Bombyx mori: one gene and its partner. The protein of the gene in region 1 purifies or fractionates together with the protein of each later gene. This does not show direct contact. Links are inferred from orthologs where the notes say so. Each region holds a gene or a part of one and is shown in the gene's direction. Other genes may lie near its edges.

Evidence for each region. Proteins that work in one complex are often made in the same cells at the same time.
Region 2: the proteins of kinesin-like protein costa (region 1) and suppressor of fused homolog purify together in Drosophila melanogaster (affinity purification with western blotting; 3 studies listed by BioGRID, with this or other methods). This does not show direct contact. The link is inferred for Bombyx mori from reciprocal best matches to the Drosophila melanogaster genes cos and Su(fu).

The regions. Positions count from the first base shown.
Region 1 is NC_085118.1:7,785,148-7,788,797, reverse strand, and holds the end of kinesin-like protein costa, read left to right. Parts: intron 1-603; coding exon 604-745; intron 746-2,034; coding exon 2,035-2,154; 3' UTR 2,155-2,412; downstream 2,413-3,650. UniProt on the Drosophila melanogaster protein: Regulates cubitus interruptus (ci) processing by recruiting multiple kinases to promote its efficient phosphorylation.
Region 2 is NC_085130.1:19,124,111-19,129,444, reverse strand, and holds the start of suppressor of fused homolog, read left to right. Parts: upstream 1-2,254; 5' UTR 2,255-2,399; coding exon 2,400-2,538; intron 2,539-3,183; coding exon 3,184-3,295; intron 3,296-4,365; coding exon 4,366-4,458; intron 4,459-5,174; coding exon 5,175-5,334. Other genes in the region: transmembrane emp24 domain-containing protein 5, read right to left, coding at 700-876, 1,456-1,596.

The DNA.
Region 1 (3,650 bases):
TTCTTTTTTTTGGGTTCATGACGCGACCTTCCTCCATTCCTTACTGTAAGAAATAGGGCGAAATAAGATATAGATGTAATTGAAAAATGATGTAGACACATTACTTACAATTATTAGCACCTAGTAGTACTTAGAGAAGGTCAGTGTAGTAAATATAACCAGATCTTCAGATTAATCATGTAAAGTCGTTAATTATATCAGAAGAGCAGGACGTTATTCAGATTTTCTTAAAGAGATACCCTAAGAATTATAACTAATCTGAATATGCAAAACTAAAAATATTCGTACATTAAAATTAAAATTCTAATCCTAAAATGAATGTTTATGGTAAGAAATATGTAGATATTGATTTTGAACATGCTTTTATTAGTGTGATATACGTATATATGTAAAGGAATATTGAATGCATTTTTCTAATCACCATTTTTATTTATAACACTTATAGAGATTTATTTTCTTCTTTTTAGATAAGCTAGCTACAAAAGCGTTTTTATTTATAGTTTTAAACAATTATTTTTTCAACACTTGCCTGAATATTTACTATATAAGTATTTTTGTGACTTATGCGTCGGTTATGAATGCTTATGTTAAATTGTCCTCTAGACATTTCCAATCGTTTCATCGATGTTTGGACGGAGGAAACCCAGAGAGGGCCCTGTCTCTCGGCATGACAACAGATTCGGAAACATCGGATGATGCCATGCGCCTGGTCGACCGAATGAAACAGCTTGCAAGATGCAATCCGGTATGTATAGAACAGCACCAAATTCTGGGTTTCCAAACCTTTTTCACTCATGAACCATTCTTCAGTTTATTTTATTAGCTAAAACTAAAATGCCACTGGAGCGATGAAGCGGAGGAGATGCTAATGACGTCGACTATGAACGCGTCAATCAGGTCAAAGTCCCAATTAAAGTAATCTTAAAATCTTCCAACCGAAACTCATAACTCTTAGTGGTGGTAGGACCTCTTGTGAGTCCGCACGGGTAGGTAGCACCGCCCTGCCTATTTCTGCCGTGAAACAGTAATGCGTTTCGGTTTGAAGGGTGGGACAGCCGTTGTAACAATACTGAGACCTTAGAACTTATATCTCAAGGTGAGTAGCGCATTTACGTTGTAGATGTCTATGGGCTCCAGTAACCACTTAACACTAGGTGGACTGCGAGCTCGTCCACCCAGCCAAGCAATTAAAAAAAAAAAATTGTTGCAGTTTACTTTGGGAGCGAACAGTGCTGCTCGGTTTTATAATGTCATCTGTCTTTTTTTTTTGCCAGCGTATCCCATACAAGGTGTAGAAATTAGAAATGTTTGTTGTTCAATGCATTGTTAATTATATCGAGCGGACGAGTAATTTCAATAAAACACTGGCCCCAACTAGGATTATCGGTACTACGGGAACTGACAACCTATGTACTCTTATATATGTACAAATAAAGATATCAACCAATCAGACTGAAAGCAAACAAACCTATTCCTTCCAGAAATCTTTGCCCAATGTGGGAATCAAACCCACGTCTATTTGCCTTGGTACCACCCTGTCAGTCAAAACCTAACTATAAACTTAAACCTAACTAACGTAAAATTAAACTTTTAACTAAATTAACTTAAATTTAAATCAGAAGGTTGCGTGTTCATATCACGTCGGGGTCACCACTGTGGTTTGTCATTTTTCTCCGTATTCGCGGGAAATTTTCACTCGGAATAATATATCAAAGTTAAACACACTATTTCAATAATACTTCTAATTTTCAGATGTATGTACATACAATATTAAAATATAAACAAAAATGAGTAAACGACGCTAGACGATACTAAATTAACTAAAATCTCGATTTTATATTTAAGTTAAATCGGCGCACGAATCTTGTTGTGATGACGTCACGGGACAGCTGCGCGTTCGGGAATTCCGATCGCGCCCGATGATACCCGAGTGCGACTCGATATTTCAATGTTCCACGCTACAAACTTAAAATTTAAAAAAAACATGAAATAATTGTGAAAAAAATAATAATACATAAATACATTTGTTTTCAGCCTCCCATCATACCTAGTCAGAACCTGCGTCAGTTGATGCCCGCAACAAATTTACCAGTAGCAAAAGTCACGAAAGAGAAGAACAAACTTGTTATTGTACAGCAAAGCAAGAAACACTGACATTTAATTATGTTTTTATTTGTATTTAATGTTACTTTATTTTGTATTTTCATGTATATTCTTATTTTAATTTTAAAACTATTGATGCACAAAGAATCAATGCAATTATAAAGTAATTATGTACTTTCATTTTTATGCCTCATGTAAATATATTTATGCATATTGTAAGACTGTTTAATAAAATTAACATTAACAATTTTGATGTTTTCGAGGTTAATAAGGCGTATTGTAATTCAAAATAAATTCGATTAGGAAAGACGTTTTGTTGGATTTTTTTTCTTCCCATACCGATAATAAGTATTTTTTAACTTACAGTTATTACCAGCAACACGCGTAAGGTTAGTAAACATTTTTTTCCAATAATGTCTACATTCTATCTGATTCAACTAATCTATATATTAATACGTGAAGCAAAAACTTTGTATCCCTTTTTACGAAAATTGCACGGACGGAGGAGTATGAAATTTTCCACACTTCTAGAGAATATAGAGAAGAAGTGCACAATGCTAATATTTTTTTAAAATAATGCCTAAAAGATACATTACATCAGTAAAAAAACGTTACACACACTACATATAGTAATCGGCAAACTTCTTGAGCAAATGACCTTGACTGCGCAGAACCGAATTTTAGGTCACTTTGGTGGTGAGGGTGAGGCGGGCGGGTGACGGCAGGGGAAATCGTATCGAGCGCGTTATTGGTAGATCAGTCGAACCTTTCGTCCCGCACCGCGCCTTCATTCCGCTTGCTCCCAAAAGTACGCTTGCGTACAGTGGAAAGTCTATCGTTATTAATCGTTAAGTTATTTGTTATAATTGCTTGTGGACTTTGTTGCCATTGCTATTTGTTGAGTGTTTGTTGATTTTTTATAAAACATACACTATGCCGTGACAAACTGGTGTAGTACTTAAAAGAAAGGGTAGAAAATTTGTGTACGACGTATATTGCTTCATTATAAAACAGGGGAAGAATGATATGGAAAAATTAAAACAGACTTCGGAAGCAACAAAAACATCAGTGAGTGTTAGGTGCATTATTAACGAAGCTAAAGGCTCTGGCTTGCTCGCCGTGTTTCGGACTCCGGGTAAGAAAAGATCAGGGAAGAAGAAAGTTACCGGAATGGATAGTTTCGTTCAGTCTGTAATAAAAAGATGTAATCATAATAACTACATAACAAGCAGCGAAACTCCGTACCGTAGAAAGGCTTGGAAAAATTTAAAGAAGATATAAATTTTAATGGCTCGGAATGAAGCTTACGACGAATTATGAAAGAGCTAGGCTTCAGATGGAAAAAAAGAACAGAAAATAATCGGAAGCTGGTAAATGAAAAAAGTAACATTCGATTACTACGAATCGAATATCTTCAAAAAATAATTAATTATAGACAAAAAAGAAGACCGAATCGACCGAGTTGTAAACTACGCCGATGAGCCCTATGTCGACTCATCACGATGATAGCGACTCGGGTGATGAAAACAGTGATGATGATGATGGTC
Region 2 (5,334 bases), on another chromosome or scaffold:
GAGGAATGGATGGAGTTTTTACTGATGGTAGGACTTCTTGTGAGTTCATTTGGGTAGGTACCACCACCCTGCCTGTTTCTGCCATGAAGCAGTAATGCATTTCGGTTTGAAGGGTGGGGCAGCCGTTGTAACTATACTTGAAACCTAAAAACTTATATCTCAAGGTGGGTGGCGTATTTAGGTTGTAGATGTCTATGGGCTCCAGTAACCACTTAACACCAGGTGGGCAGGGAGCTCGTCCACACATCTAGGCAATAAATAAATAAAATATATTGTGTAATTATTTTAGTATTGTTAGTATACAATAGAAGTAATAGAATGAGTTTTGCGCGTTTTTTTTTCAATAATCCAACACGTTTAAAACATAAACGTTGTAAAATATCACATAAAACTGTCATGAAATGTAATTTTTGTGGTAAGAACTCATTAAATAGCAGTGGTTATGGTGTTGAAAAGTAATAAACCGTATTTGTTTCTATTTTCAAGATTAACACTAAAGCGTTTATGATTTGAATATTTTAAGTATAGATTTGCTTTATGTAGATATATTGGTAGTGTTTGTTATATTCATAAGCCACCTCCATAAGCTTGGGACACTTCCCTAAGTTCCAATGTTTAGCCACCATTTGTGTTTCCAGAATAGGCAATCTTTCACTTTAAATGGCAAAGGACAAGGTCCAATCTCAATAAATTACTTACAGTTTTCTGACTAAACGTGCTGAATGTGTTGTCAAAACAAAATCTGTAGTCTCCATTTAAGGTGGCTTGATGCCTGTGAGAGTTCTCTGGCTTCTTGTAGTCGGAGACTATTACCCGTCCAACAGGGTCAGTGAGTTGAAATGATATGTCCAATTCACCATGTGTTGCATCTATTACCTTTAACATACATTTTGCATACATATAAAGATTAGGAAACAAGTTAAAATAATTTTCTAGGATGGTAGGATATGTTGCACAGAAGCACAGGAATGTAGAGGTACTTATTGATATTATTCCTTATCCTTCTGAAGAGTAATCACAGGTTCCATTTTTAGGATGTAATTGATGTATTTGTGCTGTTGAGGTTTCAATGTTACGAGTCACGTAGGGACTACTGTAACCACTTAAAGTGAGCAAAAGGTCATCAACATAAGGTAATGAAAAAAACAGGTCCAATCATTAACACAAATCACATTTTTTATTGGCTTCCTCAGTTAAATGATGCGAGCGATTAGCCAGTTGCTAGTACACACCTATATCAGAAGTTTACTCCGGATTTCACATATTTAGAGGCTAGTTTGGACCACTGTAACCGAACGTTCATTTATTAAGTTAAAACCTTATGACTTAAATTAAAACGTTTCAACTAAGTTCATAAACTGGAATTTAAAGCATTTGAATGCAAAGAATTGAGAAAAAATTTACTCTTTTTCGTAGTATGAACTCTAGTTTTGTTTCCGAATTGATTAAGTGTACCTGATATTCTATGTCTATTAACTCGTTCGGCTGTGCTCTCTGGTAGAAACAGTCGGTCATTCCTGCTTGAACAGTAAAAGTTATATCTTTTTCAAAGGCAAAAACAACACTGAAAATAGTAGTCAAATATATGTAACGCATTTTATGAATTGACTTGGTTGTTCAGCTCAAATAATTCTTATCGAATGGCGTTTTGCGTTTAATAGTTTATTTATAGATCACGGATGAGTCGTTTAGAGACATAAATAAATATAAATAGTGTGAAAATCGTGATTTATTTTTTACAGCCGAAATTTATGGTTAGAGATTATCGTTCAGAAATTCTGTTTGCGGTTTGTCAATATCAGTTTGGAATGGTGGTGGGGTAATTTTTACGTACCTAATAATTAGTCATTGTATGTATCATTGTAGTTTTAATCGGAAATCGGCATCGTCAATTCACCATTAGAAAAAATATGCCTAATATAGGTCGATAGATCAAACACTACTCACAGCTGACGAATTCCTGCGTCTTTTCATAGCTGTAGATCGTCATTAAAATTAATAACCTGGTTTAATAACTCATTTGTGTTGAGCAATTCATTATGTAACCGAAAATGTATTTTCTTTTGTGATTTGTTCAATTTCCATGCTAATTTTTGCTTAAAAAACCGTTCAGGAATCCGCCATCATGTTCCATAGTCTACAAAATTTGTACATAATAAAACATAAAAAATCCGTTTGCTCATTTCATGTCACTCTTCTATTTATTACAAACCTAATTTCTATTCTCTTTCTCAATTCGAATCTGGTACATGCTACGTACATCAAAAAAAGTCTGACTGAATACTGCATAGGAATACTGTTAGTTCAGGAATCAACAGCTGAGTCAGTGATTCTTAATTGATTTAATTATTGATTCAATGAATTATGCAGAAACAAAGTAAATTGTGAATAACATAGCTATGTCCTGTCCGAGTGGCCCAAGGGCTCCTCATTCGTCGGGGGTGCCTTGCAACAGTGCCCTGTCATTCGTTGCGTCTGCGCAGCGAGTTCATGGACCGGAAAATGACGCTTGCAAACCTCAAGATGCCAAACAATCTGGTATTTGTTTATTTACATAGTTTATGATCCCAAATAACAATTTCAAGAGTCTAGTTTCTCCCCTGTGGAATTATTGTAACAACTCTATAAAAATGAACGAATGCGCTTCTCAGACATCAAACGCAAACAGAACAATAGCAGAACATTAATATATGGTTTAACTATAGCTATGGGATGTGCTCATGGATGTGCAGCGCACATACGTCTACCCCGAAATTTTCTTATAAATACCACATAAGAACATAATATCAAAACTCTTAACTGACAGTAGCTAGTTGTTGTATAGTATTTTTTTTAGTATTCACAGGGCATAAACATAGGTATTAGGTGTATTCAAAATACCTTTTATTGCCGCATTCCCAAAATTCCAAAATATTTAAAACATAGTATTAAAGTGGGTGGATTCAAACATTCTATTAGATGAATGAGCTTAAATGCTCATCTAGTATTGATTCACACTTTCTAAATTTTTGTTATGATTCCTGTATTTTATTCCTCAGTTTTTAGACTATTTTCGAATATTATTTTTTATTGCCCTTCTAGGCACATAAGCATACAGCCTGATGGTGGTTACCATAGTGTAGTAATTTCAAGTGCCTCTTCATTAAATATACCAAAAATCAGTGAACAATTAAATTGTTTCAGAACAACTAGTACCAGTAGCTCCGGCTGGCTTGAAAGCATTATGTGATGCTTGTTCCCAGCTGTACCCAGACCAGCCTAACCCTCTGCAGGTCACGACCAGGCTCAAATATTGGTAAGGAACCGCAATAGTAGTGTAGTTAGGCATAGATGCTGGCTCTCCACTAAGTTTCTCACCGAAGCTTGTTAGTGGATCGCAATGCAGATTTGGTGGTAGATTCAAAGTATTGCAAAGAAATCTCCCTAGGGCTGGTGTTAACGAATTCTCTCAAGTTGATCCTGTGAGTTTATCTATGTACCGAATTGATAGGGAAAATAAATGGATAGATCCCTTTTTGATTAGAGCAGAACACGACAATGGTGGTGCTGCCTGGTGTGAACTGATCGCTCAAGGCCACAGAGATCACAACGCCAATCCTACTTAGCTTATGATGAATGTAGAAGACTTTATTGAATATTTTAATAACTGCCCCATTCATTGAATTTGAGCATGAGTGCTTTGCTATGGCAATAGGCAATTTTTTACAGATTTCTCTTTTTTACACTATAATTTCGTGTTATCGTATTTCTTTTATTATTTTCGACATTTGGGATTTCGACCGTCACAATACCTAACTCAAAGTAAAAGTAGTATAAGAAATAACTGCGACTCACAAAAAAAAATGGTACCTTATTTATTTCTTAATGAACACATTCCGGTTTGAAGGGCTAATCTGCCTGCTTGTGAACTTACAATACACTTAACCACCAGTACAAGTTATTATATAAAGTAAAAAAACCCGTGTAGCCCACGGGGACTGCCGCAGTAAAGCTATTGCATACCATTTCTTATCAACTTATGCAATTACAATTAGACAATAATAATTTAATATTAAAACAATAATAAAATAAGACCACGCTATATTTATAAACATTAACAAAAGCAAAACATTAACTGTCCCCTTTACACTCATAAGCTAGACCGCGCTAGAGAGAGATGGGCAGACTTTCGTGATTTGCATGCAGTGCGACGTCACGCCACGCGCTTATTCCAAACCCCTACACCAGCGCAACGTGAAGCTACATGGTAGGCGGAGTGGGGGTGTTAGGTTTTATTTTCGTTACGGATTTTCTTGATTCGGTCGCCGCGTTCAAAGCCTTCGATAAACGCTATGCAATAGCTTAATAATGAAACATCTGTCTCAGGTTGGGAGGACAAGATCCTTTAGACTACATCAGCATGTACCGGAACCCAGGGAAACCGGAGGAAAATATACCACCACATTGGCACTACATCAGGTAGGAGCTTCAAATGATAAGTTAATGAATGAAGTCTAACCAGTTTAAGTCTGCTGTAACTAGAATGAATTACATCGATATACAGTAAGTACTCAAAGTGATATAACAACTTGACCTTCCTTCAAGAGCTGATCACAACTATACCAAGTTTCCAAGGTGTCTAGGTTTTCACCTGCAATTCTAATAGCTATGTCTGAATGAAATTTTGGTAAAGTTATTGTGTATCCGAATTGCTTTATCAGGTTTGAACAACTGATTAGGGCTCATTTGATGTTAAATGGTAAAGGGTGCTGGTAGCCTCAATATGAATGCTGCAGCAAACCTCAAGATATGAGATTGAGAGTGTAGGAAGCTTAAACGACAAAGGGAAGATCTTCCACTGAGCTGGGGATATTGGCGCGATAGACCGATGGTCCTAATGTTGTTGTTCGGAACTTGTATATATGCGAGCTTATCTTGAAAATGTCGTAAGCGAGATTCAGGCATCTGTCAAATATCTTGCGTTATATGATGACTACCCGCCACAAGAGCTTGCTTCCATTCCTCATCTGATTCTCTTTAATAAGCAGACAAGCTCACAAAGCACCAGGTGCTTACCCATCTGAAGCCCACACTGCAAAAGTGCCAGTTGTTGCTCACCTTGAGGTTTGAGGTGTTGTATTATTGTTGACTACAACTCATGGGACTTGAATGTTATAACATTAGTTCAATTTCAGTTTCGGTCTGTCAGACCTTCACGGGGATGGGAGGGTCCACCCTCCGCCGGATCGCGCGGCGCTGTCCGCGGGCGCGCCCCTGCCGTCTGGCTGCGGCATCGAGCTGACGTTCCGGCTCGCGGCTGACGGGGCAGAGCACCCCCCGCTGTGGCCGGCGGCT